4 linked regions of the Alligator mississippiensis genome follow. The protein of the gene in region 1 purifies or fractionates together with the protein of each later gene. This does not show direct contact. Links are inferred from orthologs where the notes say so. Each region holds a gene or a part of one and is shown in the gene's direction. Other genes may lie near its edges.

What was found.
Region 2: the proteins of SMAD3 (region 1) and FOXO3 purify together in Homo sapiens (affinity purification with western blotting; 3 studies listed by BioGRID and IntAct, with this or other methods). This does not show direct contact. The link is inferred for Alligator mississippiensis from reciprocal best matches to the Homo sapiens genes SMAD3 and FOXO3.
Region 3: the proteins of SMAD3 (region 1) and KAT2B purify together in Homo sapiens (affinity purification with western blotting, with the first as the bait; 3 studies listed by BioGRID). This does not show direct contact. The link is inferred for Alligator mississippiensis from reciprocal best matches to the Homo sapiens genes SMAD3 and KAT2B.
Region 4: the proteins of SMAD3 (region 1) and RUNX2 purify together in Homo sapiens (affinity purification with western blotting; 3 studies listed by BioGRID). This does not show direct contact. The link is inferred for Alligator mississippiensis from reciprocal best matches to the Homo sapiens genes SMAD3 and RUNX2.

Annotation. Positions count from the first base shown.
Region 1 is NC_081834.1:4,232,721-4,240,170, reverse strand, and holds the start of SMAD3 (mothers against decapentaplegic homolog 3), read left to right. Parts: upstream 1-4,444; 5' UTR 4,445-4,511; coding exon 4,512-4,717; intron 4,718-7,450. UniProt on the Homo sapiens protein: Receptor-regulated SMAD (R-SMAD) that is an intracellular signal transducer and transcriptional modulator activated by TGF-beta (transforming growth factor) and activin type 1 receptor kinases.
Region 2 is NC_081824.1:94,245,379-94,252,706, forward strand, and holds the start of FOXO3 (forkhead box protein O3), read left to right. Parts: upstream 1-4,325; 5' UTR 4,326-5,754; coding exon 5,755-6,297; intron 6,298-7,328. UniProt on the Homo sapiens protein: Transcriptional activator that recognizes and binds to the DNA sequence 5'-[AG]TAAA[TC]A-3' and regulates different processes, such as apoptosis and autophagy.
Region 3 is NC_081828.1:150,497,919-150,505,885, reverse strand, and holds the start of KAT2B (histone acetyltransferase KAT2B), read left to right. Parts: upstream 1-4,966; 5' UTR 4,967-5,069; coding exon 5,070-5,300; intron 5,301-7,967. UniProt on the Homo sapiens protein: Functions as a histone acetyltransferase (HAT) to promote transcriptional activation. Has significant histone acetyltransferase activity with core histones (H3 and H4), and also with nucleosome core particles.
Region 4 is NC_081824.1:12,513,417-12,521,232, forward strand, and holds the start of RUNX2 (runt-related transcription factor 2), read left to right. Parts: upstream 1-4,812; 5' UTR 4,813-4,891; intron 4,892-5,100; 5' UTR 5,101-5,164; coding exon 5,165-5,222; intron 5,223-7,816. UniProt on the Homo sapiens protein: Transcription factor involved in osteoblastic differentiation and skeletal morphogenesis. Essential for the maturation of osteoblasts and both intramembranous and endochondral ossification.

The DNA of each region.
Region 1 (7,450 bases):
TACTGGCTTGGTGGCACCAAACTGACTAGCGCCATGAATGAAAGGAACTGGGGGGTGATAATAGACCACAGTATGAATATGAGCCGGCACTGCAATGTCATAGCCAGTAAGGCAAATAATACTCTGGCATGCATCAGTCAATGCATCTCCAGCAAAGCCAAGGAGGTGATTCTTCTACTCTACTCAGCACTGGTGAGACTGCAGCTGCAGCACTGCGCCCAGTCCTGGCCACCACACTTTAACAAGGACATGGACAAGCTTGAGAAAGTCTAAAGAAGAGCCACTAATATGATCAGAGTCTTAAAAGGCAAGCCATACGAGGAAAGGCTGGGGGATCTGGGACTCTTCAGCCTGAGGGAAAGAAGGCTGAGAGAGTACCTGGTAGCAGCTTACCACTACACTAGGGGAGCACATCAAGGGCTCAGTGAGCAACTGTTCACCAGGGCACCCGAGGGGAAAACCTGGAGGAATGGCCACAAACTCCTGGAAGATCGATTCAGGCTCAACATTAGGAAAAACTTCTTCACAGTTAGTGTCCAGACTGGAATAAGCTCCCTCCAGAGGTTGGTGCAATCACCTACCCTGGACGTCTTCAAGGGGAGACTGTACGGTCCCCTTGCTGGGGTCACCTGACTGCAGTTATCTTTCCTGCTTGGTGCATGGGGCTGGACCCGATGATCTTCCGAGGTCCCTTCTGGCCTTACAATCTATGAAGCTACCCAAAGTACCTTGTTTACGTATATAGCTATACTTCAGAAATTAGACTTACTAATTCAATAGTTGGGTACAGAAGTGGGGGTGGGGTATGAGATGTTTAACACTCCCTGATTGTGTCACAACCCCAAGTACACATTAGAGCAGTGTAAAGGCAATGTCTATGGCTCTGCAAAGGACCACTGCCAGTTAGGGATAGTCAGGGTACTTCAGCCTGCCAGTTCTGACATACCCCTATGGAGAGAGCTGGCTCTACGCTTGCTTTGGACTCTCCCGCTCCCTTTTTTACCATGAGCAATACAAAGAGAATAGTGTGGAGCAGAGAGTCTGTCCTTTGGTCTTGCAAGCAATTAAAAGCATGCCCAGCACTAGTGTATCTCTGTGTATGTTCACAGGCTCTTTAGAAGGAATTTGTTTTCACCTTGTGTTAACGATTAATTCTGTATTGTCTCAACTGAAAGCCCAGTTTTCTTGTTTTAGAAGGTAAAGTTTAAACTTATTAATTTAATGAACGTGCCGCGTAAACTAGTTTTTTACTAGATCTGGCAATATATTCATGTAATTAAAAGTATGAGTAATGCACATTATCCATAAAAGTATTTTTGGTTTCTTAAGTGGGCTCCATAACTGTACATATCAGTAGGAACAAAATCTCAGTGGATGAGATTGAGTCCCAGATGGTCCCAGACTCAACATGCAGAGGTCACATGCGTAAGGATGGTCACATAGGTAAGGATACTAAAGATGAGGTGTATTTTAAAAGATGAAGGCAGTAGTTATATTGCTATAAAAATTTATGCTTATTGCTTATTTAGCCTGAAGGTAGCCACGAAGACATCAGACTTTTTATAAACCAGAAAAGGGATCCAGACCATGAAAAATTAGGATGGTTCCATCCTTTTCCTGTCTGTTAATATTTCCATTGTGTGAGTATCCAAAACTCTCCGAAATAAAGACAGACTGTCTGGGGGTTCAGAAAGGCATGTTTTCACAGGACAGCTCCTTTGACAGGTAAACCAAGCACTCCCAGAGGTGGTTCTATAAAACTTAATGTCCCTAATCTTAAAAATGAATGCTGCATCTTGTTACCAAATTTGTTCCCCTTTTGAGCTGTACTGATCTCCATGCTGATGTAATCTGGGATGTGGCTCGCTGAGTTCAACGCACCTACTAGGGTAAATTGGACAGAATTAAATCCAGGGTGTCTCGGCACAAGAGAAGAAGTTAAATGTGAGCTAGAATTGCTGGACTTCATTTGCTGCTTTGCCACTGACTGTTAATTTGGGAAAAGCACCTAACAGCCCCATGTTTAAATTGACCCATTTGTTCCTGTGAAATAATAATCATAATATCTCTACCTCATGTAAACGCAGCGAAGCTTGGCCCGTGAGCGTTGGTTGAACATTTTGAGAGCCTTGTTTGAAACGTACTAGATATCTAAGTCCAAAGTACAAACTATCAGTTCAGGGTTGAGACTTCAGTGTTACTTTTCACTTCTCTTTCTGAGTTGCTGCCCCATTCCAGCACAGAGTAGAAACAGCCTCTGCAGAATCTACCTTTTGGTTTAAAATCCTGAGATTTAAAAAAAATAATAATAACCCACCAGGCTTCTTTATTTGTATCTTCTGGGTTTTGAGCATTTAGGTTACATTTGGATCGGTATTAAAGTTCCTCTCCAAACTTGTTAAGGAAAGAAACGTTTTAAACGAAAGCTGAGATTCTCGCCTAAATCATTTGATTTCACGTGCTTTGGCTTTTAAGAAAAAATGCCGAACATTGCAAGCATTAGCAGTAGTGACGGTTCTCTCTCATTTGGGGTGAACAGTTGCGGTGACCTAACTGTAGGCTGAACAGCCAGAGGAAATAAATGTTTGCCTGATTTTCAGAGGCATTGAACAACCACTGCTAGAAATGTCATCAGTGCGATCTGCAGATACGTAGCCTCTCTCTTCTCAAAGCATCTCTATGTGGGCAGTCAAAAAATGGGTCTCTCAAAATTAGGGCTGCTTTCTAGGGCCTGGAAACCCTGGCTGAGTGGAGAATTGCAGACCCTGGAATCTGGGGCTCTCAGTAGCCCACCTAGGACTTGTGGAGCAGCCAGGAAAACATACACAGCTCTTGTTTGGGGTTTTTTAGGGTTAAGATACGCTCTTATCTGGAGAGCTTTCTCTCTGCAGGTCCAGGCCCCGGCAGTTTCCAAGTCTCCACCAGGGAAGGATGAATCCTGCCTTATTTGCACATCAGAAAGCAACTCCCAAAGACACCCTCGTGCACCCAGAGGAACAGATGTCCACTTTCAGCTTCCTCTGTGCAAAAAATGAAGTTTATTTTCTACCTACGGGGACTTTTTACCCTCTTTAATTCTCCCTGAGCTTGAGGAAGGGTGTATGCCCAAACACTTGCAGAAAAAGATCATTGTTTTTGCGATGTCTTAGTTGGTCTGATAAAAGGTGGTGTCCTCTCTGAATTAGTGCTCAGAGGAACATCCCACCGCTTTACTCCTCTGTGAAATATGAAACACCATCACCAGAAGGAAACATGAATACATCCTGCTCACCAACAAACAACTTCGAGGGAAACAGATCTTTCCAACTTCTCTCTGAGCCTAACCTGCAAATGAAATGAACTTTTCCAGACAGATTTTAACCACTTTCAACACTCCTATACAATGTAAACTGTCATTTCTCCCCAGGAGAACGTTTACAAGCTCATCTCTGATGCCCGATGAAGGGTGCGTGCACCCGAAAGCTTGCAACGAAAGAAATTTTTCTGCAAATGTCTAGTTGGCTTCATAAAAGACACCGCCTCGACCATGAGCCCTGATCTCTGAGCTAAAGGGTCTCGAGTGTGGCACCCCCCGAGTCTCTCTTGTACGCGGCTCGTTTTGCAGCAAGATTTCAGGGCCCGCTTCTTGCTTTTAAAGCTGTTTTCGGCTCAAATCTCCCTGGCGTGGAGGACAGAACCAGTCCCCCCAGGGTGTGTGTGTGTGTGAGGGAAAGGGAAATGGACGTTTGCTCTGGGACTTGGGGAGTGTGCGGAGAGGAGAAGAGGTGCCCACGTCAGTGTGCATGTGTGTGTGAGGGGAGAGGAGAGGGCTGCGCCTGGAGGGGAGGAGAGGTGCCCGTGTGTGTGTGTGTGTGTGTGTGAGGGAAGGGGAAATGGATGTTTGCTCCTGGCCTGGAGCAGTGTGCGGAGAGGAGAAGAGGTGCCCATTTCTCTGTGCGTTTATGTGAGGGGAGGAGAGGTGCCCGTGTGTGTGTGTGTGTGTGTGTGTGTGTGTGTGTGTGTGTGTGTGTGAAGGGGAAATGGATGTATGTGAGGGGAGGAGAGGTGCCCGTGTGTGTGTGTGTATGTGTGTGTGTGTGTGTGAAGGGGAAATGGATGTATGTGAGGGGAGCAGAGGTGCCCGTGTGTGTGTGTGTGTGAAGGGGAAATGGATGTATGTGAGGGGAGGAGAGGTGCCCGTGTGTGTGTGTGTGTGTGAGGGAAGGGGAAATGGATGTTTGCTCCTGGCGCGGGGCAGGGTGCGGAGGGGTGTGTGTGTGTGCGTGTGGAGGGCAGCCCCGTGTGCGCGGGCGGAGGCTGAGGGGCTGCCCCGGCGCGGGGAGGCGGAGGCGGCGGCGGTTGGTGGCGGCCCCTCTCCTCCCCTCCCCTCCCCTGCCCTGCCCTGCCCGCCTCCTTCCCGGGCGGGGCGGCCGCGGGCCATTTGCAGGAGCGGCGGCGGCGGCGGGCGGGCGAGCTGAGGCGAAGTTGTCGGCGGCGGCGGTGGTGGCGGCGGCGGCGGCGGGGCCGGCAGCATGTCGTCCATCCTGCCCTTCACCCCCCCCATCGTGAAGCGGCTGCTGGGCTGGAAGAAGGGCGAGCAGAACGGGCAGGAGGAGAAGTGGTGCGAGAAGGCGGTGAAGAGCCTGGTGAAGAAGCTGAAGAAGACGGGGCAGCTGGACGAGCTGGAGAAGGCCATCACCACGCAGAGCATCAACACCAAGTGCATCACCATCCCCAGGTACGGCCCGGCCCGGCCCGGCCCGGCGGGGTGCGGTGCGGGGCGCACTTAGTGCGGGATCCCGCTTTGTTCCCCTCCCCCCAGCCGGCATCGCCCTGCCCCGGCACCGCGGCTGCACGGCCCCGCACGGCCCGGCCCCGCACGGCCCGGCCCGCTTACGTTCGGCTGCACAACTTTTGCGCCCTGTGGGGCTGCGTTACTTTGCACACTCACCTGGCTCCATTACATCTGGCTGTGTATACTTGCACACTGTGGCGTTACGTTACTTTCGCACACTACATGGCTATAGTACATGAGGTGATATTACTTGTGCACGCTAATGTGGCTATATGACATTTGGCTATATTTGCACACTGTGGCTGTATTACTTTGCACGCTAATGTGGCTACATCGCATGAGGTTGTATTTTGCACACTAATGTGGCTATATTACATGCGGTTATATCACTTTTGCACGCTAATGTGGCTATATGACATTAGATTATATCACTTTTGCACGCTAATGTGGCTATATTACATGAGGTTATATCACTTTTACACACTACATGGCCATATTACATGAGGTTATATTTTGCACACTGAGGTTATATCACTTTTGCACACTAATGTGACTTACATGAGGTTATATCACTTTGCACACTACATGGCTATATATTACATTAGGTCATATTACTTTTGCACACTAACGTGGCTATGTTACATTAGCTTATATTTTGCACACTAACGTGGCTATATTACATGCAGTTATATCACTTTTGCACGCTAATGTGACTATATGACATGAGGTTATATTTTGCACACTAATGTGGCTATATTACATGAGGTTATATCTTTTTGCACGCTACATGGCTATATTACATGAGGTTATATAACTTTTACGCACTACATGGCTATGTTACATGAGGTTATATTTTGCACACTAACGTGGCTATATTACATGAGGTTATATCACTTGCACACTAATGTGACTATTACATTAGGTTATATTTTGCACACTAATGTGGCTATATTACATTGGGTTATATCTTTTTGCACACTACATGGCTATATTACATGAGGTTATATTACTTGGCACATTTACATGGTTATAGGCTCATTATTTTGTTCCAAAAAAGGACGCCGTTCATGCAGCTGAGTGGGATTAGTAGGTAGGTGAGGGATCGCACGGATCAAATAACTGACTTCATGCAGATTATTTATGCAATCTTGTAGGGTTTTTTTGGCACGGTTGTGCCCACAAGGTCCGTTATAACGTGTGGGAGAGCACAAGCATTTCTCAGAATTTGAGAAGTGGCCATAAGGAGGAACATTTTATAACTGAAGTTTCTGGGGTTTTTTTATTTCTCTAAGCTCACTTACATGACTGTCATTCTTAGTACTGTTGATTATTTTGAGGAATAATACAACACTGCTTTTTTTTTTTTTTTTTACCCAAAGGCTAAAGTTCATGCAAAATATTTTAATGCTGTATAATTATATGCTTCTGTGTGTATATATGCATGCTTTTTTTGTCTGTCATACACAAATGTGTGCTGTCGTGGTTGTCAGAATGATTTAATATGCAGTGGCTAGTACACACAAAGCAGCATCTGTTGCATGAACCAGTGAAACAAATAGCTTTAAAATGTTGGGAAAGTTTGAAACTCTTGATTTTTTTTTTTCATTTATTTATTTTTTTTTTAAAAGGCTGCTTCATCAACCATGAATTTTAATGATCATTTAATAGCTTCTCATGACTCTTTTTTTCCAGTGAACAATAAATACTAAATTAGATTTTGGTCACTAAATCTAGATTGATCTCATTGGAGTTACTCTGGATTTTCAGGGTTGAATCTGAGATTAGTATCTGCACAACTCGTGCCTGACATGCCTACCCTCTAGCCTGTATCTGAAACTCTTGATAAGCAGTGAAATCCACTCTATTCAAAGCTCTTTGTGGAAGTTTTTTTTTACTGTATTGCAAATTTGGGCGGGGGGGGAAGGGATTTTGAAAAGTCCAACCACTGATGTGACTTGTGTTTTTGTATTTTGGATTTCAAAGACTCACTGCTGCTCTCCTGTGAAGAGTCAGAGAATGAAATGACCTAAAATGTGCTTCGGTAGGAACACGGGTGTTTTGAGAGGGGTAGAAAGCTGTTTTCAATAAGTTGTAATTCATAGGAAGCATTTGGTGTGTGAGAGAATGCATTTAAAAAAAAAAGCAAGTAACATCAAAAAAGCAAATGTCACAAACTCTGAACACTGCCAGGACACTCTAGCTAATGTTTACCGTGTAAAGTGAATGGCTGTTTCTTTATTTTTTTTTTTCTGTCCTGGAAATCTGTCTGCTAGACAGAGTCCCCCAGCAATTAAAATCTTTCATTTGTTCATGACATGGACCCCAACCTCAGTCCTTAATCCTTGATATCAACTGGAATTTTGCCTGATTACACCTGACACCATGGGTCCCTTCTAGCAGTAGTTATTTGTCACCTGACACTAGCTTCAAGTATTGAAAATAGTATGCACTTTTACTGTTATTTAATCCTTCTATTGCAATCAAACCTAATGCCCATACCCAGGCTAGTCTGGTGTAGGTTAGCTGCAAACATGGTAAAAGACAGTCCCTGCCCTGTAAAGATGAGTCTTATAGATGAAGTGATTTGCTCAAGGTTATACAGCAGGTTAGTGTCAGAGCCATAACTGTAAGCCAAGGTCTCCCAATCCCTCGTGGGGTTGGTGTCTTACCCCCTCA
Region 2 (7,328 bases), on another chromosome or scaffold:
GGACGTGAGAGAGAGAATGAGTCACAACTGAAAACTGTGGAGTAGAATTTTTCCATTTCCCTGATCTGCTTCACAACTCAATAGGACTTTTCTCTTTGGCCCTCTGCAGACTTTCCCTTAGATCAGTCAGGTGTTTGCTTATGCCAGCAGCTGCAGTCTCTGGGGCTTGCACCACATGGAGATCTGAAGATACTTCTTACTGGATGAGGTCCTCATATACATGGAATATTTACCATTTGAAACTTCTCAGCCTTAGGGCCTAGGCCACAATTCTGAGCCAAGTCAACTTGGCAGAAAAATGTTCCATAGTAGTTGAGAAAATAATCCTCTCTCCCTTTCCGCAGTAGTAAATGCAACCACTTCCTCTTTTGTTACACTCACTTTTTTCCTCCTTCCCCTCATTAGAATACTTGGTCTGTTTATTTGCAGGTAAAACCACTCTCTCAGACTTGCTCCTAAACCATGGGTACAAGGAAACAGTGTGGGGTTGCTGTAGTCACCTCTCGCAGACTTCTGACACATGCACTGTATAAACTGGTCCCTTGCTTTAGTGAATCTGCATGTTGGATGCTGTGCAGTGAATAAGGCAGCTTGACACGTTAGTGAGGATATAATAAAAAAGATGTAATGCATTATAGAAGAGCTGTATTGTGCTGCATGAGGCAGAATTAAGGTCACATGGCAGCTATAACTTTGGAGTTTACTGACTTGTAAATTCTTGCTTTTGCAACCCCAGATATTCCTTTTCTGTATGGATGATTGTTATGTAATAATATTCAAATATAATAGACATGTACAATAATAGTATGCTATAACCACAACGTAACATTATTTTATCTAACAGCAATATACTTTACAATACTTTTACGCAGTAATTAGGAAATGTCTAAGGTTCCCAATGCAACCTTTACCCTGCCCTCCACATGCTCATGAAAGGCCATTTATAATCTAATGCTGGGAATTTTGTTTGCATGAAAAGTTCACAAAGGGTGCCAGCCCTATGAAAATGTGAAGATACTAGAGAAAAGAAAAGAAGATACTCCTACTATGGGGATATTTAATGAGCATTTTTAAGGATACTACCATCAACTAGTGCACTATCTTGGGAAAAACTAACTTTTTGAATCACCAGAATGAAAGAAGATTACCAAAGCAGCCAGGCAGTGGCATGTCTTGGTCAAGCCTGTGGATGAGTGCTCAAATGAGTGAATCTTTTAAAAAATCCCTTCTAGTGATTCCCACGGGATCTGTCACCATACATAGAGAGCAAGGGAGAGAAGCGCACACATATACAAGATGTGGCTTTGCCTGGAAGACCTTGCTGTAATAGATTAAATGGCTGAGATTTTCAAAAAGGCTCAGTACTGGCCTAACCCTGCTCCCATTCTTCTTCTTTCGTATGACAAAAATGGTGTCTGTATCTTTATCTTTGTGCGCTTTGGCATTTTTGTCAATTGGGGAGCTCTTGGCTGTCAGAGATGTTACCAGGAATCACTATGTGGAAGTAACTCTTGTCAGCGCCCTCTATTCCCATTGAAGTCAGTGATAAAACTTCCAAAAACTGAGCCCTTTGGAAAATCCCATATAACAGTGTTTGTGTGACCATAAGGCTTAACCTTAAGGCTTTGAACTAAATCTTGCTCATTACACTACTAACTACAATGGGACTACTCTGTTTATGGGACTGTGATATACAGAATTCGGCTCATTTCCCCATGTCCTATGCAGAAGCTTCCCTAGGTAAAAATTACCAGAGTAATTAAGTAATTTTTTAATTCTGGCTCTACAAAGCAAAACTATAGAAACTAAGTTCTGTGAGGAGCTCTGAAGAACCAGAATTCCCTCTGATAAGGACTGCATAGCTGACATGTTGGGGGAAGGACATGAAGGGGAAGAATGATCCTGTGGTTAAGGCCTGGGACTGGGATTCAGGAGATCTAGTTTTAGCTCCAAGGTCTGCCACAGACTTCCTGGCATATGACCTCAGAAAAGCCACTTTAATATCTCTCTGCCTCAATCCTCCATCTGTTTAATAGGGTTAATACTACTTCCTTCCACCCTTTGTCTGTCTTGCTTATTCATACTGGGCATTGTTTAGTACACGTACAGAGCACACCTAGCCTCTAATGGCCAAATGCAGCTATGGAGTAATGTCATACAAACAAACAAACAAAATAAATATAATATAATTTGGGCCAACATTGTCAATTTTCAACTTAGCCCTAAGTGCATCCTCCTGAGACAGCCTGGGAGGATGACTGGAGATTCAGGGATGCATCTCTTTTCTCATCTCTCCAAATCTCAGAGCCCACTTGAATCACCAGGTGGTCTAGGAGAATAGTAATAGATGCTCGTCTGGCACAGCTTGGATTACTGCTGACATCTGGTATCCTTCAGTGGCTGTTCAGATATTGATTGATGGTCTGAACATGTCTTTACAGTGCCTTGAGCAATGGGGTCTGGGCCATAGCTCTTAGGAGCTAGCACAATACAAATAATAGTAATCAGTATAGTTTTCATGAACAAATGTCAGTATCCCATATGCACCTTAGTCAATACCCTATTCATAGACTGAATCACCCTTACGTTCCTATCAATGGCCTCTCTACGACAGAATCCAGTGACAGACACATGCATGTTGATGATCCAATATAGACCCAAATTGAAGTCATGTACTGCAATGTGTGCTGCTTTAATTGAAAATAACCTGTTATCATCTACACCTGCATTTATTCCAGTGAATTAAGATTCCCCCCTTACATTTGGATAAATTCAGCTTTATTGTCATACATACTAAAACATACTAAATCTTGTAGTTGAAATCTCGGTTGTAGCTTATATTTATCGATCCCTCCTTCCCCCCATAATGCAGCAATGGTGAAACACTCTACATGGGGCCTGGGTTTGTAATGGAGCAAAACCACAGCAATATGGTCAAAACTGAAGGCCTTCCCCAGTATGTAGCTGCCTGCAGAAGGCATGTCAGATCAGGGCCTTACTGTTTTAAAACCATTTAAAATTAAGCTGTGTACAAACCCCATTGCTCATACATAACTATAAATAAATCAGGGATAATTTAATTTGTCTGTTGAGGTAATTCTATCTAGAAACACATTAGAGGCAAACTTACTTTTCAGGCAACTGTCTCTATCCAGGAGATAGGAATACATTGCTTTGGTACTAAACCAAACACAACAAAACTGTAAATACAAATCCCTGCAATTACTAATGCAGATATGCTGCTAAGTATTTATATCTGCATTCAAATGAAGAGACTCATATTTAGTAATCTCTGGCTTTTATCAAACCAAGTAATTGGCATAGCCTTCCTTCAAGCTATTTGGGAGGTATTTCTGGTACAGTGTGTACTTGAAGGAGAAAGTGGAATGATATGCACATGTGTACATGCCTGGACATGTGCCTTCAGTCACCCACAGTGCTGAATGGAAGTTAAAAGGGACTTTCAATTTAGGTTTTCTAAAAATAGCTTTCCATATAAGAGCAACAGAAAATTTAGAACAAAAATTACAACAAACCTTCACCCCACTCTTCTCTGCTGTGTGGAAGCTATATGTTCAACTGTTTTGCTGTAAAGTAATTGAAAGCAATACCTGCTGAAATTATGTACTAGTGCCTGAGCACCCTGAGTACGTTTGACTGAAAGCAAACTATAAACAAAACTGAATGTACTGCACTGGTGCCTAGGGCTCTAGATCAGACATGCAGAAACAAGGGGAATAATAATAAAAAACAGTATTACTTTGCACATGTATAGCTTTTCATCTGAGAACCCTAAAGCCCCTTCCCAACCCTAATCAATACGGCCTCACAACTCCACTGTGAGGCAAGGATGTTTCATGAGCCCTGTGTATGAAGGAAGATGAAACTGAGGCAACAGCCCAGATCCTCAAGGTCACTCAGAGCAGGGGGCAGAGCTGAGAAAGAAAGGAAAGCAAACTGGCTGTTCAGGGCGCTTCATGTTTAGTCAATGAAGGTGTTCGTAGCACAGGCATGGCTTTTTCTGAAGCAGCTTTAACAAAGCAATGTCTCTTTAAGTCTCCAGAGCTCTCTGTATTATGCTCTAAAAGAGGCTGATATTATATACACTAGTCCTCTAGACGTCCTGACTTGGCGGGGGGTTGAAGCCAGGTTATTACCCCAGCATTTGCGGGGGACAGAGGCCGATCTGGCCGATAACACCGCTTTCTTTCCTGCAGTCGCTTGTAAACTTGTCCCTGGGCTGCCTGCAACCCGGCCCTTCCCTCCCTGTGGGCGGGGACCAGGCGGCTGCGGGGTTAGGTTGAGACTCCCTGCGTGTGTGTATAACTTTGTGTTGCCGCCGCTGGTTGTTAGGAGAAGGAATGTGGAAGTCAGCGGCGTGCGGGGCGGCGGGCTGCTCGGGCCGGCTGCCGCGGCGATCCCCGCCCTCCCCGCGCCACTCGCCGAGGCCCCGCGCGGCCGGCGGCCCCGTCCTGCCCGGCCTCTGAAGGGAAGGCGGCCGGCAGCCGGAGAGGCGGCGGGCCAGGGGCAGGAGCAGGAACCCGGCGGACGCTGGATCCGGACGCGGGCTGGGAGCGGAGGTCGCTGCTGGCGCCTCCCGGCGCGGAGCCTCGCGCTGCCGCGCTCTCCGCCGCTTTCCCCGGCGCTTTTTTCAATGACTTGAGCGACGCTGGGGGGTGGGGGGAGGAAAAGAAAAAACCTGTCAAGATGGCAGCAGTAGGAGCAAGGAGGTTATGAACGTAGTGTTGATGCTGGAGCCAGCCCCGTCCTCCTGGCAGCCCGGCGGCCCCCGGACCTGTTGGAAGACTGCACATTTTACTGCGTTTGGTTCGGATCAGTTGTTTTTTGGGTGATTTTTGGTGGTTGTTTTTTTTTTTTTTTTTTTTGCGCCGCCCCCCGCAAGAAGGAGGGGAGGAAGCCCAGGGTGGCGGCTTCTCACCTGTTCCGCTGGATGTGAATTGTTATTGGTATTATTTTTTGCTTGATTTTTTTTTTTGTCGGAGGGGAAGGGAGGGGGGCGGACATAGGAAAGCGACCTGCGAAGCTGTGAGCCCCGTCGGAGGCGGCCAGGACTTCGGTGTGAAGGAGGCACAAAAGTCTTCGGTGCCACTGGAAGGACGTGGCTCCTGCCGCCGGCGGGCAGAGCAGCGCGGGCAGCCGAGCGAGGAGGAAGCGCGGTGCCCACGCGGCGGGGCCGGCTCGGCGCTGGGGGCTGCGGGGAGGGGGCGCTGCCTCCCGCCGCCGGGAGCCGCACGGAGTGAAACATAAACACACACACCGCGCACACCAGCCACACGCAGGCGACACACACACCAGATACACACGCGCGCGCACAGCACAACACAACACAGGCGACGCATACGCATAGACACAATCGCACAACACACACCTAGACATACACACGCATAGAAACACGCACACGAGAAAGGGCACACAGCTACACACCGGACACACACGCGCAAGCACAGACAGACCCCCCCCGCCCCAGAGCCGGCTGCCGGCGGCGCCCGGTCCCAGCCCGCGGGGCGCCACATCTGGTGCATCTGGCGGCGCTCGCGTTTGGCGTGTGGCGGGCGGGCCGGGGTGGGCGGGGGGCGTGGTGCGGGTGTGGGTGTGGGTGCGGGCGGGTGCTGTGCTAGGCAGGATCTTCATGGCGAGCGGGGGCATGTGCGCCCGGCTGCCCCCGGCCTGCTAGGCAGCGAGAACAGTGGCAGAGCAGCGGCAGCCTCCCGCCGGAGCCGGAGCCGCGAGAAGATGGCAGAGGCGTCGCCGCCCGCGCCCCCGTCGCCGCTGGACGTGGAGCTGGACCCCGAGTTCGAGCCCCAGAGCCGGCCGCGCTCCTGCACTTGGCCGCTGCAGAGGCCCGAGCTGCAAGGCAGCCCGTCCAAGCCCGCGGGGGAGGCGGCCGCCGACGCCGCCTCCATGATCCCCGAGGAGGACGACGACGACGAGGACGGGGGCGGCTCGGCCATGGCCATCGGCGGCGCCGGGCCCAGCGGCGGGGACGCGGCGCTGGTGCCGGACGAGGCGGCGCGGCTGCTGGTCCCGGGGCCGGCCGGGGCCGGGCTGGGCGCGGGGCCGGGCGCGGGGGCCGCCGCCACCGCCTCTTCGGCCCCGCGCAAGTGTTCGTCGCGGCGCAACGCGTGGGGCAACCTGTCGTACGCCGACCTGATCACCCGCGCCATCGAGAGCGCCCCGGACAAGCGCCTCACGCTCTCGCAGATCTACGACTGGATGGTGCGCTGCGTGCCCTACTTCAAGGATAAGGGCGACAGCAACAGCTCGGCCGGCTGGAAGGTAGGAGCGGGGCACCCGACCCGCGAGGGGCTGGGCTGGGCTGGGCTGGGGGCTGCTGCTGCTGCTGCTGAGGGGCGCCCTCCCCGGCCCCTGCGAGACGAGCGGGGGGAGGGCGGCGGGGGCCACCTGCTCCCCTCAGCCGCTGGGGAGTTCCTCCAAACAGAGACTTTTCTCCCCCCCACCGCCTCCCTTGATAGTTGTCTGGCTTTTCCTACATGTTAGGGCAGCTGGGGGACCCTTCTGCTACAGAAACACATCGCCCTGCCCATCTCTCTCTCCCCCTTCGCTCTGGGCACTGGTCCGGGCAGCCGGGATCCGGTCCGGACCCAGAGGGAAGGGAGACAGGATCCGCTTTTCTTGCAGGTTGTTTACCTCCTGACTTTGAAAGCACATGGGGTCCAGGCAGTTTTGTTTTTATAACTGGAGCTCCTTTCTTTAAAAGAACACACACTCCCGTGCTAATATTAGACAGCCAAACTTCTTTCTTTCTTTGTCTACTTTCTCTTCATTCTTTCCTGTCTTCCATCCTTTCTTTCTCTCCTTTCCTTCTCATCCTTCTTTCTTTCTTTCTTTCTGAGCTCCCCCCCAAAACTGGTTGCCTTCAGTATTTATTGCGTTCTTCTGTGCATATGGCACATGCCCCGTCTTTTAAGCATTCCAGCTGCTCAGAAAGCAGTGTCACTGGCATGATGCAGGGTGGCTATTTAGCAAGGAGGAAAAGGCTGGCTCTCTTCAGTAGCAGCTCGGTGCCAGTATTGCAAGTCTTTACGGCTGAGCATCTGACCCAATGCCAGGAGGAGGATTTTTTGAAGAACTTTGATCCGATCGATGAGGAATGACATTTCCCATCACCTTTTTTCTGTTTTCTCACACTGGGGAGAGTTTGCATACTAGGCAGAGATAGATCACATGAAAATAGTCTAAGCTGGAGGATTCCCAAAACTCATTCTCATGTTTGAGACGTGATAAGGGTGGTATGTAAACGACTTCCCCCCTTCCAAATGGAACTTTACAGGAGAAGTGTTTGTGTT
Region 3 (7,967 bases), on another chromosome or scaffold:
TAGCCCATGAGTATCACAATAACACTTCATCAATTTTTATTTAAAAAACCAAGCCATGTTTGGACAAAAAGCACACTTATCAAGAATGACAATAAATACAAATATCTCAAACTCCTCTAGTCCCCCTGAGTTCACAGGCAGATCAAACACCTCAGAAAGTATGATTCTGTTCTAACAAGTGCCTGTGCAAAGACATTCCTCTTCTTCAGATCTGATTCTCTCTCTAGTCAAAGTCCTACCTGTTTACCTTAGTAATGAAAACAATGTTTATATTGCATTGTAGTCCTATTGAGTTAAAACTGACCATGCTTAACTTATTGCATATGAGTAGCCTTCCTGTGATCAATCAAACATTATGTTTGTGTCTGTAGGATTAGAACGAAGAGGCAGTTAGGTGAATTCTTTCAGTTCCTGTGTCATCACCAGAAGTGCTTACTTGCTAAATTTCAGTTTCAGAATCAGTTAGTTATAATTCTGCCAACTGTGATAACTAGCCACAGAAATTGAAGACAGCATGGGGTTAAAGATATTGCTTGATGTCTGATTAGGCCCACAGAGACTTCATTACTGACAACAATGAGTAAGAACAAGAACTAGTTAGAATTATAACCCCCACATCAAGCTTATGCATTGCAACTACCCCCATTCTTTAAGTTATATATTTAAGCATACTTTATATGGATGGCACTGATACCATTTCAACAGGGGCTCTTATAACGCATATACAGAATCATGGGGGTATCACTTATCACAACAACATTGATTTCAGTGCAGCTACCACATGTAACAAAAATTCAGGAGCCAACCCAACATTTCCAAGGAATTAGTAAATCCTTATATGTTATGTAGACCAAAATAGTAGGCAGACTCAGGTCAGCACATGTTGGCCATCACCAATACAAATTAGCTTTCAGCTTTGATTTATGGAGTATTTAAGGCAAGATTTGAATGAAGATAATGGCTATACTACTACACTTGTTCTGTTCTATAATGAAAAAAAATTACAGCTTACCTAGCACAGCTTCTGGAGCTATTCCTCAGTAATACTAAGCTTTAGTTCTGCATATATAATGAAACTGGTGTTTACAAAAGTTACTATAGAAACGGTATCCCTAGCCACTGGTGGTGATTTATTGTTCTCATTATCTATTAAGCAATACGGTAAAAAGATATGGGTGCTGAAAGACAATCATGCTCTTGAGGATATAAGAAGGAAGTGCAGTAAAAGTGCTCTTTCAATTTGTAATAACTATTGTCTTAATATATGTACTTAGATTTCAAAACAGAACTCATTTCCCCTTAACAAAATTAACATGAACAAGGCCGCATATAAAATATAAACAATGCTTAAAGGGTATGGGTATTTTAATAAAAGGCAGTGTCTGCCTCATGCTTTACATACTTGGTTTTATTTTTAATAGAAATAAAACTCCTCTAGACAAATAGGACTTAGAAAAAGCTCCAGAAGAAGGTATGTGCTTAGGCCTTGATCCTACAAGTATTTGCACATGGGCTTAACTTTTGTGCATCACAGGGCCTATTGAAGTCAGCAAGACTACTTCCACAGGCAGGGAAAATGAAAGTGAAATAGATTAATATATTTTAACTGATTGAAAGGAAAATAAAAGTAAATAGCAAAAACAATAACCATGCCATTGCATTTTTTTATTCACAATCTCACATGTAGAGTAGACAGAGTAGGTAAGGTAATCATTGTTTTAAAAACTTTACTCTTCATCAATTATTGCATGTTCTTATTTAAAGAAATAAAAATTCCTCTGATTTAAGTTGTGTTCAAAGGGAGTCATTTTTTAAATTTAAAATGCCCTTAAAGTTTGTGCAGACTATCTCTGTTGGCACTATACCTCTCACCATTGCTCTCTTTTAAAGTTCTGCGAGGCTTGGGTTTGAATGACCAGTCCACCTTAACAGCCTATCTTAAAAAATATGGGACGTTAGCAGCCATCTTAAAGGGTCACTGTCAGCTTGAATGTAACATTTTTGCCTGAAAATACTGTATCAACTCCAACTGCTAACACTGGCCAGGAATTTTTCAGTGACACAGATGTGTGTTGAAAAGTGCTGATTGGAAAAGCTGAAATGTTTATATGAAAGTGAATGTTTCAATAAACTTCTGACAAAACACAGGAACTTTGCTTTCCTGCCAGCTCACCCAGGAGGCCCACAGCTATGGGGCAGCTCTCTCAGGAAGACTGGGCTTTCTTTGTTAATAGTGGTAGGAACAAGGACAATGCTGGGTGCTGGCTTTGGCTGCTGGCTCTGCAGCAGGGAGACTGGCATTTCTGAGACCCCTGGCTTGAACTAGGACTCTCACAGATTCCAGGTTTCTTTTCAGTCCAAGGATCCCAGTCCCTGAAGTCTCATGATTCAGCTGTGACCCCCAAAGCTTAATGCCTCCTACCTCCCCATCTGTTTACTGGGACTCACCAGGCTTTGAGAGCCACTGCTGACCTGGGGACTTTGGAACTGGCCACTATGACCTCATGATGTCTCTTCCAGCCCTAATTTCCTATGATCCTGTGATTCTTCTTAGGATTGTTTTGCGCTTAACAATGGGAGACAATCACTTAGTTATGTACAAAGAATTCAGCCCATTCTCCCCAATATTAAAGCATTTGCTATTTGGGCCAAAAATAGATTTACTTTTAAATTCTCAGAACATGTATTAATTACTTTGAGTTACAATTAATTTTCAAATGTGTCCTTTTAAAAATGTAGCACCTGGAGTCACACTTGTTTGTTGTCAGGAATGATCTCAATACATACTCTTCAGACTTGCCACATGATTAAAACTCACTAGTATTTCTTGCCTTAGCAGCATTTTAAATCCTCTTTCCTCTGAAAAATCAGTATTCAGAAAAAAAAAAAAAATCCAAATGCTATCCAGTATGAAAATGCAGAGTTAGGGCAACTAAGCAACCTTGACTCTGCCCTCAAGCATTCTTGACTATGCCCTAGAGTGAGGCCATGAGGGGAAAACAAAACTGATGTGTGTTTAAGAGCAGTTTTATAACCCAGGACTATAATCTTATGCTAATAGTAATTATATAGCTGTTGCTTGATAATGTCAGATGGTAAAGTTAAGGTGCTCAAGTGCTTTAATTGTATGTTGCCATGCCCAAATTCCTTTTCAAGTTACCCTTATTTCTGAATGTCCTGAATTTACCATGCTTGTTGACAGGGGCAGATCCAGGGGGTTGCAGTAGTGCAGTTAGACCCCCACTTTGATTCCTGCTGCTCCCAAACTTTAAAACCAATTACCTGGGCAGCAGGGAGGGGACTTCATGGCTTATTATCATCTCCCTGAGTCCTGCTGAATTCTACCCACTCCACAGGTGTTAATATAACAAGCTATCCTCTTCAATAATTGTCATATTTCACGATTCAAACTATCCTTTCTTCTGCAATTTTGCTTTCTTTTAGCCATTCCTGGTAATGTCTCTCTTCTGTTTCATAGCCCAGCAGAACTGTATTCAGCGCTAGCTTCAGCACTTATCTCAGGTGTGGTAATATTAATTCAGAAGTAGAAACCACCGAGTGTGTCTACACGAGACTTTACTGCGGAGCTGCCTAGTTAGCTCCACAGTAAATGTCTCAGTGTCTACATGTGCAGTGCTACTAGGCAGGAATAAACTAACCGTGCAGCACCCTTGTGCCTCAGCCAGTCCCTTGAGAGCAGGTTGAGCTGGGCTGAAGCAGCTTCTGGCTGGCAAGCTGACCACCCCCACAGCTCCCTGCCAACTGGGGCTGCTCCCACCCAGCTCAATATGCTGCTGTCCTGGGCCCAGGAGCAATAAACTCTGGCAGGATGTGTGCTGGAGTTAATTGCACATGTAAATGTGCCCCAGCCAAGGCTCTGTGTACCCAGGTCTTAAAAACCTCTAAGGATGGAGCTTCCACCACCTCTCTGGGGTCACCTGTTCCAGTGTCTTACTACCCTCCTCTGCACTGGTGACGTATAGGGGGTGCATGGGGGAGAGCGCTGGTGCACCCCCTGACAGGCTGTGCTCCCTGCTTAGGCGATGGGGGTGAGGGGGCAGGCAGGAGGGCTGTGAGTATTGGCCTGGGAACAGGAGTGCTGGATGAAGGGCCACAGCCACTTCTGGGAGTGTTGCCGCTGCTTCCCGGTCCGTGCGAGCACCTATGGGGCCCCCCCCGGTCAGTGAGATTGGCTGTGGGGGACTGCCCCAGTTACTGACTGGTTGCTGGTGGGTCACATGCCCCCCCAAGGTGCCACCAGTCACCCACACTCCTCTGAGAAAGTGTTTGCCAAAACCCATGAATGATTGGTGCCTCCCGAGACTGGGGGGGCACAATGTGTGGGCAGCAGCGTTGGTGGCAGGGTGGTGAGCAGCAACCCCCGCCCCCCGCAGAAACTAGCAGCGGCCAAGCTCAGGGGCTGCACGTGTCCCCCCACAGAAGTTGCCTATGCCAAGACCCTGCCTAAACGTCCCTTGCCGCAACTTGAAATTATTGCTCCTTGTTCCATCTTCTGCCCCCTCCCCGAGAACAGGCCAACTCCGGCCTCTCCGTAACCCCCGCCAGGGAACCGAAGGCTGCTATGAAATCCCCCGTCTCCTCTCCTCCGGATTACACAGACTGGTTGGCCGTGTGGGGGGCACGCACGCACACACACACACACACACCTCCTAAGCCATTTTGCTGCCTTTCCCCCGAGGGGTGTGAAGTCTCCCCTCAGGAAGGAGGCGCGGGGCTGCCCGCAGACGGAGGGGGAGCGCGGCGCCGTCACGCACGAGGGGACTTGGGGGGGTGGCGGTGGCGGGCGGCACCAGGTGCGGGAGCCGGGCCGGGCCGCGCGGGGCTGGGCTGCGGCGAGGGGCCGGGACACAGGCCTCGTCAGTCCCTCCCCCTGGCACCGGGGCGCCCTGTCCCCGGCCGCCGCCTGCTCCCGGCTCGGGAGGTGCCGCCGAGGTGCGGCCAGTCCCCTCCCTCCTCCCTCCCGGGGAGCAGCCGGCGGCGGCGGCGCTGGGAAGAAGGGGAGGGTCCAAGCGCTGGGCGCGCCGCGCCCGCCCGCCCGAGGCGGCGGCATGGCCGAGGCTGGCGGGGCCGGGCCGGCGGCGGGCGCGGGCCCGCAGCAGGGCTCCCCCGCCGCCGGGGGACTGCCCGCGGGCGGCGCGGCCCGGGCTGCTGCCGCCGCCGAGAGCCCCGGGGGCGGCGGGGGCGCCGGCTCGGCCCGCATCGCCGGCAAGAAGGCGCAGCTGCGCTCCGCGCCCCGCGCCAAGAAGCTGGAGAAGCTGGGCGTCTACTCCGCCTGCAAGGTACCCCCCACCCCGCCGCCGCCGCCGCCGCTTGTGGGGCACTCGCCCCGGGAGGCCGGGCCGGGCCGGGCCGGGCCGCGGGGTGAGGCGGCGGTGGCGGGGGAGCTCCGCCCCGCCCCGCACTGCACTGCACGTCTCTGCCCGTTCCTGCGGGGACGGGGGAGGGGAGAGCCGGGCTGCGAGCTGTGCAGCGGCGCCCCCGCTGGGCCCTGCTCTGCCTTTCCGGGCAGCAGCGCCTTTGTTGTGACAGGCGGACAGCTGACGGGGCGGCGCTCCCGGCCGGGGGGACCTGAGCTGGGGCAGGAGCTCGCCCAGCTCCCGGGGAAGGTGGGCGAGGAGCTGCCTAGGCGGCAGCCGTGTACCCCCGTGAAGAAGAAGGCTAGTGGCATTGCTGGACGATCGCAGTGTTTTATATCCTGTAGGTGTTCTCATTGATTGCCGAGGCAGGGAAAACACCACATGTCTTGGTTCACGAAGGCAGTTTTCCTTAAGCCTTCCTGGGGATAACTGTTCTTCCAGCGCTGCTTAGTACCCACCGAGGTGCTGGGGCTTAATGCCCATTTTATGGAAATGGGAGGCTCCACCCTAGCTTGCTCCTATGCCTGAGGGTAGGTGAAACTTGGGGGCTTCTGAACCCCAAGCCTCCTGGTTTGGGCCTGCACACAGGATGCCTGCCAAAAAACGATGGAAATATCTGAAGGTCGTGGTTGGGGGTGGAGGATGTTTGCTGGTTCTAGGGCCACTTATGTTTCTGGACTGACTCATGGATTTGGCTGATTTGGGTTGGAACACAAAAAATTTCTTAAAAAAAAAAAAAGAAAGCTGTATGAATAGGAGCGGGGTCAGTGGATGGAGGGAAGTGATTGTCCTCCTCTGGTTGACACTGGTGAAGCCACGTCTGCAGCCGGTTTGGGGCCCTCCGCTACAGAGAGGTTGTGGATAAATTCGGGAGGGCAAAGGAAAATGGTTAGCAGGGCGGGGAGCATGATTTAGGAAGAGAGGCAGACGGAACTGGGCTTACAGGCAGACCCTGGACTTATGACGCAATTGCTTCCTGAAACCCTCATCTTAAGTCCAAATGTTGTAAGTCTGTACCAATTTTTCCCATAGGCAACAATGTTATAAATGGGGGATTGGTTTCTGAACCAAGGCTGGATACCCAATTTTCACCAAAAATAACCCAGAATTTTGTACTCAATTATAGATGAGTAATATAGCTACATTCATGTATTTATATGGTAAATAGCAATCATACTGGTTTGGAAGGACTTCTTTGCGGCAACTTTGCTCAACTTTTTGAAGGGCTCTTGGTTGGGCTTTTTGAAGGGTTCTTGGCTGGAGTCTTCTCTACAGGTTTTTGTGGAGTTTTGTCTGCTTTTTTAAAGAAAGTGTCCAAGGAAGTTTGGACAGATGCTCTCCAGGGAGATGGGCAACGTAGCGAACTTGTTCACTGGCGTGGCATCATGTTGGATCAAGCATTGTAAAGTCTAAACTGAGGCCAGAAAGTTGAAACAGGGTGTCAATTTATAAACCTTGTAAGTGCAAAACCTTGTAACTTGAAATGTTGTAAGTCTAGGACTGCCTGTATTTAGTCTGAAGAAGAGAAGATGGAGGGGGGATTTAATAGCAGTCTTCAATTCCCTGAAGGGAGGTTTCAGAGAGGATGGAGCTAGATCGGGGGTAAGCAACCCCCAGCACGGGTGCCAGAGTGCATTTTGCTTGGTGTGTGCATCTCAGGACAAATGGCAGGGAAGGAGTCAGGGCTGTGCCGGCGGATCAGGCCCCTCATGGCTCCCCTGCCATCTTCCTCTGGCATGCCAACATCTTACAAGCTGAGGATGCCAATATTTTTGGCACTTTGTCCAAAAACATTGCTGACCCCTGAGCTAGATTGTTATCAATGGTAGCTGATGACAGAACAAGGAGCAACAGTCTCAAGTTGCAGCAAGGGAAGTTTACATTGGATATTAGGAAAAAATTTCTCACTAGCAAGGTGGTGAAGCACTGAAACAGGTTACCCAGAGAGGTGGTGCAATCTCTATCCATGGAGGTTTTTAAGACTTGACTAGACAAAGCTGTGGCTGGGATGATCTAGCTGGGGATGGTCCTGCTTTGAGCAGGGGGTTGGACTAGATGGCCTCCTGATGTCTGTTCCAACTCTAATTCTCTATGATTCTAAGCAGTGGCTCCTAACATAGGCACAGAGACAGAAACTTTCCTTTAATTTTTTTAAAGTCCTTCCTAGCCAGCAGGCACAATTTGAACATAGAATATTCTTAGTTTGATTCCCAGTGGAGAGCAAGTGGGTAGCATCACAAAACACCACCACTGCACATGGCATCCTCTTGAGGCTCAGTGCTTTGAGGTTATGCCTAGTAATTGAGTTTGGGCTCAGGGAAGCTTATGCTCCTCTGATTCAGTTAGTTTCTAATGTGAGTCTCTAACCTAGTCATGATTTAGATCTGTTCCTCTAGTTGTGTTTAGCCACTCTAGATCTGTTACTGTGGCCAGGTATTGTGGATATTGCCGTTGCCTTTGCTATACTTTTTTTTATGAGTAGATATGCCATTCATTGAGGGTCATTAACTCAGTTGCTCTCATGAGAACTCTGTTCTTGTAAGCTATTTTCACTAGAAAAATAGTCTAGATATATGGAGGTGAATCTGA
Region 4 (7,816 bases), on another chromosome or scaffold:
ATGTTTGAAATAAATTTTATTAAGTGGTAGTGTATGTAACATTGCATTGTGGGTAGCAGTTTCCTGCTTTAACCTAGCCACATCCTCAGCTGTTATATGAGACAAGTTTCCCATATTTTCTGCAAGTTGACTTTTTTTTCTTTTTTTCTTTTTTTTTTTTTTTTAAAGAAAACAGACAGGAGAAAATAGCAATAAGATTATAATGATTTTAAACCTATATATTGACTGTAAGACTACAGCCAAGTAGAATTATCTTCTCACTTGCTGTACAGATGAAGAAATATATGCATAAAGAACAGGGGGTAAAAAAGCATTGCTATTCAGGAAAATAACTGAGCTATAAATGTGCAAAAGCAATAGCCATTGAGAGATATTTGACTTTTTAGATGAAGAATCTTATTTCGGGCCCAAACACAGGCAGAATACTTCAACACTGAAGTTGAATTGGTGAACATTTTTTCTGAGTAATGATAAATGAGAAAGTTAATAACCCAAGGCAACATAAAACAATTATGTTACTTACTACTAAATAAATGTATCACTGATTAACAAAGGCTTACTGTCATCTTAATCTGTCATAGTGGTTTTCTGTTCAGATTTAAACTGATCTTTAACAGTATGAGTTCAATGAAAAGGGGGCAGACAACCAAATATTTGCTTAACCTGGGAAGAAAAAGCTACTTTTTTCCCCCACAATCTGTGATTTCTAAATCAATCAAGCAGCTTCATATCTTTCTTGTTAAATTAGTGCATGGAAGTCAAGGGAGAATAAGACGCAAAGAGGAGCATCAAAGTGGATACATTTGTCATTCATTTGAATATCCCTCATTTATCCTGCAGATGCCCAAAAAAACCTCTGACAAGAGTCAGTATTTTTAAAAAGTGGCATTAGGAAAAAAAACCTAACTTGTAAGAGTATTTTTACTGGATGTTATTTTATTAATAGGTACTTTCACATTCCATTAAAGAGAAGGAAAAATCTTTTATATTAACATTCAGGCTGTATTAAGCAACTATAAAGATGCTGGAAGTGAAAAATCCCAGTCTACACAGCCCATCCACAAAATATGAAAATACTACAATTATACACATTAGGACAGAATAAGTCTACATCAATTTAGTAAGAACTACCAAAAAGTAAATTCCAACACCACTAAGAAAACTATAATGGAGGGTGAGAATGGCTTCTGATTGTGAGATGCTGAAACCAAGCACACGGGTTGGTTCAGATACAGAAAAATGTAGCACCAATAGATACGGATCTAAGGAATAAAATCTGTCGAGTTGAAGCATCTGAAGTAGTAATAAAGGGTATTATCTATGTCACTTTGTGTGGAAAACTATTAAACTATCATCTACTCGTTGAATAAATTACACTTAGTTGCAAGACCATCATCCTACCAGAGTAAGTAGAATTTTTAAACCCCTCTAACCATAGCATCAAAACAAATTTAAGTACAAATAAACTTTCCCCAGTGAATCGTACTGTTTATTTGCTGTATAAAAAGTATGAGCGACAAAAAGCAAAATGTTTGGAAATAAGATAAAGCAAATCTTTAAAGGTTTTCAAAACAAATTTCCAAAAAGATAAAGGATACGATGGCATTAGGTTTGTATTACAATTGATTTTAATTTCAAAATGAGATTTAATTTGTCATCAAAGAACTAGTCCATAATTTACAAAGCAAATTCTTTAACTTGATACTCCTTTTGTAAGTGTAATTGTATCAGTGACTTAAAGTATCCCCTGTGGATTTTTTTTAAGTTAACTTTGATTTTTTTTTTTTTTTAGTTCTGCCATTTAAACAAAAGACTGTCAAATGTATGACTGCAATCAAGAGACTTGTTTACACAACAGCTTTTCAAAATTCAGATTTCTTCTTCATTGCACTAAAAGTGCAAACTATTTTTGAAGAAAGGGGTTGCCAGGTATTGAGTTGAAACACAATTTTGCTTGAAACCTCCTCCCCCCACCACACTATACCCACTAAAAAGGAAACATTTCCAATGCCAAGAAATATTTAAATTCCAAATTAATAGAGAAAACATGTTTAAGAACTACACTCCAACCAGACACTGGAACAAGTTTTTATATTGTTTGGTAAACTTTACCATGCTAAATAGAAAATTTATTTTAGTGATTTAAATCTTAAAATCTAAGTTGAAAAAGCTCCATGGTGCTACTCAAAAAATTATACCTCGCAGATAACATATTAAAAGGGAACATTGGTAAATAACCTTACAAATATATCAGTGAAAGAATGAAACAGACAAACAAACAAAAAGCCCCAGCTATCTTGAAGAATTAAAGACATTATTTCAATTTACAGAAGTTAAAAAAGAAAGATACAACACCTCTGTGGCAAGTTTCTTTTCAGACACTGAAGAACTGACTAGTAATAAACTTCTTCGGTTTTAAAATTATAAAGGATGGTTTTCAATGAATGAAAAAAAATTAGTCTGCCGGCAACATTTTAGTTATAAGAAAATTAATTTTCATTACCATAATATGCAAACTGATAAACATTTTCAATGTGTTACTGAATTTGCAGAAGTCTGCACTTTGTACAAATTCTGTGAACTGAAATTCAACAAATTATAGGGAAATGCCCTCTAAATGCTTTTATTACATTAAAAGTTAATTAAACTTCTAACCTAAACAAATATACTTTGTTTTTATGATACAATTGCCAGTAAAGTCAATCATTTTTACCACCTTACCTTTTTTGTTTCCAGTGATGGTCGTACCATAATATAACATTTAGAGGTACAAGAAATGCATCTTCAAAAGGGACAAGTTAAATAATGGTTTTTACTTTTTTACATGACAGTTCACTGTATAACTCCTAATTTTAAGAAGAATTCTGGAAATGTGGCAACTTTTAAGAACTGAAAATGTTCCAAAATACAAGCACAGTATACATTGTAATAGGCATTATGACAGAGACGTTGATAAACAAAATTATTTTATGTTTTTCTGATACATATCAGCCCTCCAAAAAAGAAAACTTTCACAAGTTGTGATTTTAATTGAAAATTCCCCTTTCCCATTTCCTCACCTCCATCCACCAAAAGGGGAAAAAAAAAGGAACAAAAGGCAAACCCGGTCTCCACCCACTTTTCCATTTATTAGTTTCACACCACTTCTGGTCATTTTCTTATTCGGGAAGTAGGGGTAGGAAGAATGGGGAAGCAAGAGGGAGGTTAGTTGCCAGGGATATAGACATCAGAAGTGATACAAATACAGGCTGAAAATCCTTAGCAACTTTCTTTTACTGCCATGCTTCTATCCCTTCCCCGCATATACCAAAAATCCTACACTCTGATGAAACTATAAAATGCAGTGCCCAAGGTATACAATCATGCTAACAAGAAAATGAGTTCTACATATAAATGTCCAAAGGGGCAAAAATAAGACAGTTTCCCAAAGATGTTTCCAATTTTGTTCTGAATCTGAGTGAGCAAATCAAGACTACTAATACACACTGTCTGTGCATATTATTCCTTACTATGCACAGCATTTTGCAATTTATTTCAAAGCCTCTATTATAAACACAAAAAAATACTGCTGCTGTTAACCCATTCTGTACTGGTATAGTAAAAAGTTTATGCTACACAAAGTCAAAGTTAAATATGTGATAATATTGTGAATGCACACACAAACCTGATATAAGTGTTCAAATCCAACATATGCATCAAATTTATGCTTCATCTTTAAAATAGATGTTAACAGTAACTGCTGAATAAAGTTATTTACAGTGTCCCAAAAAGTCTAAAGTCTATGCTGTTCCTCTGTAACATTAAAATTATAAGAAACAATTAATGTAAGTGCAATCAAAATCCCACAATCCATACAATTCATTATGTTAAGCGTCCATATTAAATCCCTACAACAGTTTTTATTCTAAAAGCACAATGTATAAAGCAGTACCCAAATAATTTACAGCATCCAAATGACACTCTGTACAATATACAAAAGGTATATAATTACACTTAAATGTCATTATATAAAACTGCCAGCTAGTCTTGAATACATGTAAGCAAGACAGACATGATTTAAAATTTGTAAAGGAATCCCGAGACTAACACTTCTATGACAGCCAATTACAGTACAAAACAGCCCCAACAAGCTGCTACTAGACCTTACGAAAGGTAAAATTTCTTACAATGAGTTACAGATTCACAAGTATAAGAAGACAAGAAGAAAAAGTAAAACAGAAGGAATCCAGCCACCCAGCAAATATGAAGCAGACCCAAGATCGTGATACAATCCAAAGATGTAAATTATTGTAAATCATCACTGTTGTTCAGAATTTCACACAGCCACTTGCGCCAATTTTGCTCACTTTGCCACAGACACAATAATAAGCTAGAGACAGGACGGGGGGGGGGGGGAAGAAAAAAAAAAAAAGAGGGGGGAAAACCTGAAGTGAGAGTACAAATAAAGTTCTGCTGTCCATATGCTTTAACTGTACAGGAGTTTGGGCTCTTTCACATTTTGTACTCCCTCCAAATCCTCATGAGTCACAAAAATTAAAAAGCTATATCCTTCTGGATGCCAGGAAGGGCCTTACCACGGGCCTTTTGTCAAAATAAAAAAAAAAAAAATAGAAAGAAAGAAAAAGCCACAGTGGTAGGCAGTCCCACTTTACTTTGAGTACTCTGATGTCACAAACCACATGATTCTGTCTCTCCAGTAACAGTGCTTGCAAAAAAAGGAGTTTTAAAGCTTTTGCTTTTTTGGATTGTGTGAATGCTTCATTCGCCTCACAAACAACCACAGAACCACAAGTGCGGTGCAAACTTTCTCCAGGAGGACAGCAAGAAGCCTCTGGTTTTTAAATGGTTAATCTCCGCAGGTCACTACCAGCCACTGAGACCAACAGAGTCAGTAAGTGCTGTCTAACCACAGTCTATGCAGTAATAGTAGGTCCTTCAAATATTTGCTCATTCTCTTTTTTTTTTTGTTTTGTTTCCTTGCTTTTCACATGTTACCAGCGCTTCACAATTTTTTGACAGAAAAAAACAAATATAGGAGTCTATGCACTCCAAGCACTCTGTAAAACTAAAGGAAGGTTTGGCTATGGTTTGTGTTTGCAGTTTAAGGCTCCAAGCAGCACTTACATCAGAAGGTACAAGTTCTGTGTGAAAAGAGAGGGGGACTATGGCATCAAACAGTCTGTTCAGCTCAGTGACACCATGTCAGCAAAACTTCTTTTGGGGTAAGTACCACAATCCGTTTTTAAATTTTCTGAGTAAGCACTGGGCATTGTCACAACAGAAAAACAAACTTGTTGAATGATATATTATGGTTTGAAGATGGGAGATTTAGTCAGGTGAAAAAAAAACGTTACTGTAAGTAATACGTGCATATTAAGAACGACACTGTTAACTGAAAAGCTAGGCAACATGAAATCACCAGCTTATACCTTGGCATTTGACAGCAGGTGTGCTCATCTGTCACCTATCTGACTCCATGTGTACTGCGACATGTACTTGGAGACGTACGATGCTGCTTTGAACTAGGTAAAAAGCTAAAGTATTAAATTAATAGAATCAACCACATCTTACAATACAAGGTGAAGAAACTAGGAATAAAATGGGACATTTCTATACAGTTATAACATGACTGGGTAATCAAATTACTGAAACAGAAGTAAGTTACATGATTTAACAGCCAGTTCTCTGTATCTGAAAAAAAGTTAGTAAAATATCAGATTCAACCAAAGAACCTTGTCTGCCTAGATAAAATATAGCATCTGAAATCCTTTCCTGCACATCACTGCCCTAGCAATTGTCCTAGATGTCTCAAATTAAACTTCATCTAGTAATATGCTAACAGGAATCTGTTAGACCAACAATCTGTTAATGTTTCCACTTTTTCACAGCAAGGCATGGTTTACAATGCATCAATGCTCCGATACAGTTTTTCTAACCATACTTAAGTCAAGACTAAGCAAAGAGCAGTTTCTGCATTAAAAAAAAAGCCACCAAAAAACCTGAAGTTTCAAAAAAGTGGATGAAATTAGCATTTTTAAAGCTACTTTATATAATGGTATGTTGCCAAATATTGGATTAAATATTCAGATCTGTAAACACAGATGTCTTAAAACACCTTCATAAAATCATGCAATTATGAATTAGCATTCCACATATGCATGTACCATGTAGATTTACATGCATGACCCTACTGAGAGTACACACATTGTACTTCTAACATCATTTAGCTCCAAACCTTTTATTCTTCTCAGATCTGCTGTTGGATTCAATATACATCAATGTCTTTTGAGATAGAGAACCCCTATATAAAACTGAACGAGACTAACTTTTGAGTGATTTGTATAAAATCTTAAATGCTTTCAAACTTTCGTTTAAAAGGGCAATAGCAAAATGCTGACCCCTGATCACATTTGATCAGTGGTCAGACACATATGAAAGATTTCTCACTGAGTCATTTAAGACAGAGGAAGAAAACAAACTGAAAGAACAGTAAAACATTTTCAAAACTTACAAAATTTTCTTAATGCTGTCCATCATGATGAAGCTATAATGGGGCTGTAGTTAAACCTATTTCCTTTATTCCTCCCTTTTTTTCCTAGTCAAAAAGATGCTACATATGCTTTCAGTATAGATTAAGCTTGTATTGCAACTAGCTGATGGTTGGAGTTCCTTTTACCCCTCCTACTTCACGCATTGCAACTGGCTCCTATCTAAGCACATGAATGTAGTTTAAGTCTATGAGCACAATTAGACATAAAGAAAAAGCTTTAAAGGAACAGAGAACTGTTGCGTTTAAAATGCACATAGGCACTGGAAATGCTACATCTCAGTACTGTCTACAATTGCTCTAATAGTTATACCTCACAGAAAAACTGGAGTGAAGTGCGGATACAAAAAATAGTCTTTAAATTGTAGGCAGCATTTCTACTAAAACTGCTCTCTTAATGAAGCACAGCAGAAGTGTAGCCAGACCACATTATCCCAGTGTTTACAACAGGAAATACAGTTTACATGTATAGGGACTTTCTTTTGCTTTTACTTCCAAAAGAGATTAGAAGAAAGTAAGTTGGCTAAAATTATCATAACATGCAGTGCCGACTGCTGAATTAGTCTACTTTTGGTCATTCTTTAACCTACTGCAAAGTGCTATAACCGGGACAATGAGTTCTTCCGAATTCTGTGTAAAAGAAGGGTATGTAAATATATCCTTAGAAACAAACTACAATGAATGTCTAAAACAAAATTTCTCTCATATCAACGTCATCAGTATACCTGAAAGTTGTGAAAATACCTATTTTCATGTTTACGCTTTATTGTAAAGAAAAAAAGAGCCAAATCACTCATCCATTTATTGTTTCCAAACTACTAAGGCACTTTTGCAGTTGCTTATGAGAATGCACAATTAGATTATCATTTTAAGTACTGTCAGGTTTGGCATTTAATCTCTTCCAATTCTGTTCCACGATTTATTCCAACTGGAACTGCAGCATGAATCACGTCTCTGAATTACGTACCTGCTAATCTGTTTCAACCTGTGGTATTTCTGCAAATTTTCATATCACCTGATGCGGGGAGGGGTCTTCTGTAACTTCAAGAGCATACAGTCTTATTCCTTTAAGTCTGAATTATCTAAACACTAGGTTCTGTACTCATTAGACTAATTCTGCTCAACAGGTATGCTCTGAACTGAATCCAAGTTTGAGTGTGTTCTATTTGTATATGCCTTCCTTTCAGTTTTTTTAAATTTAAGCCTACCAATTCAAATAGGCTAAGGCTCTCATAATTTTGCCTTTTGTTCAAAGTGAATCAATACTAA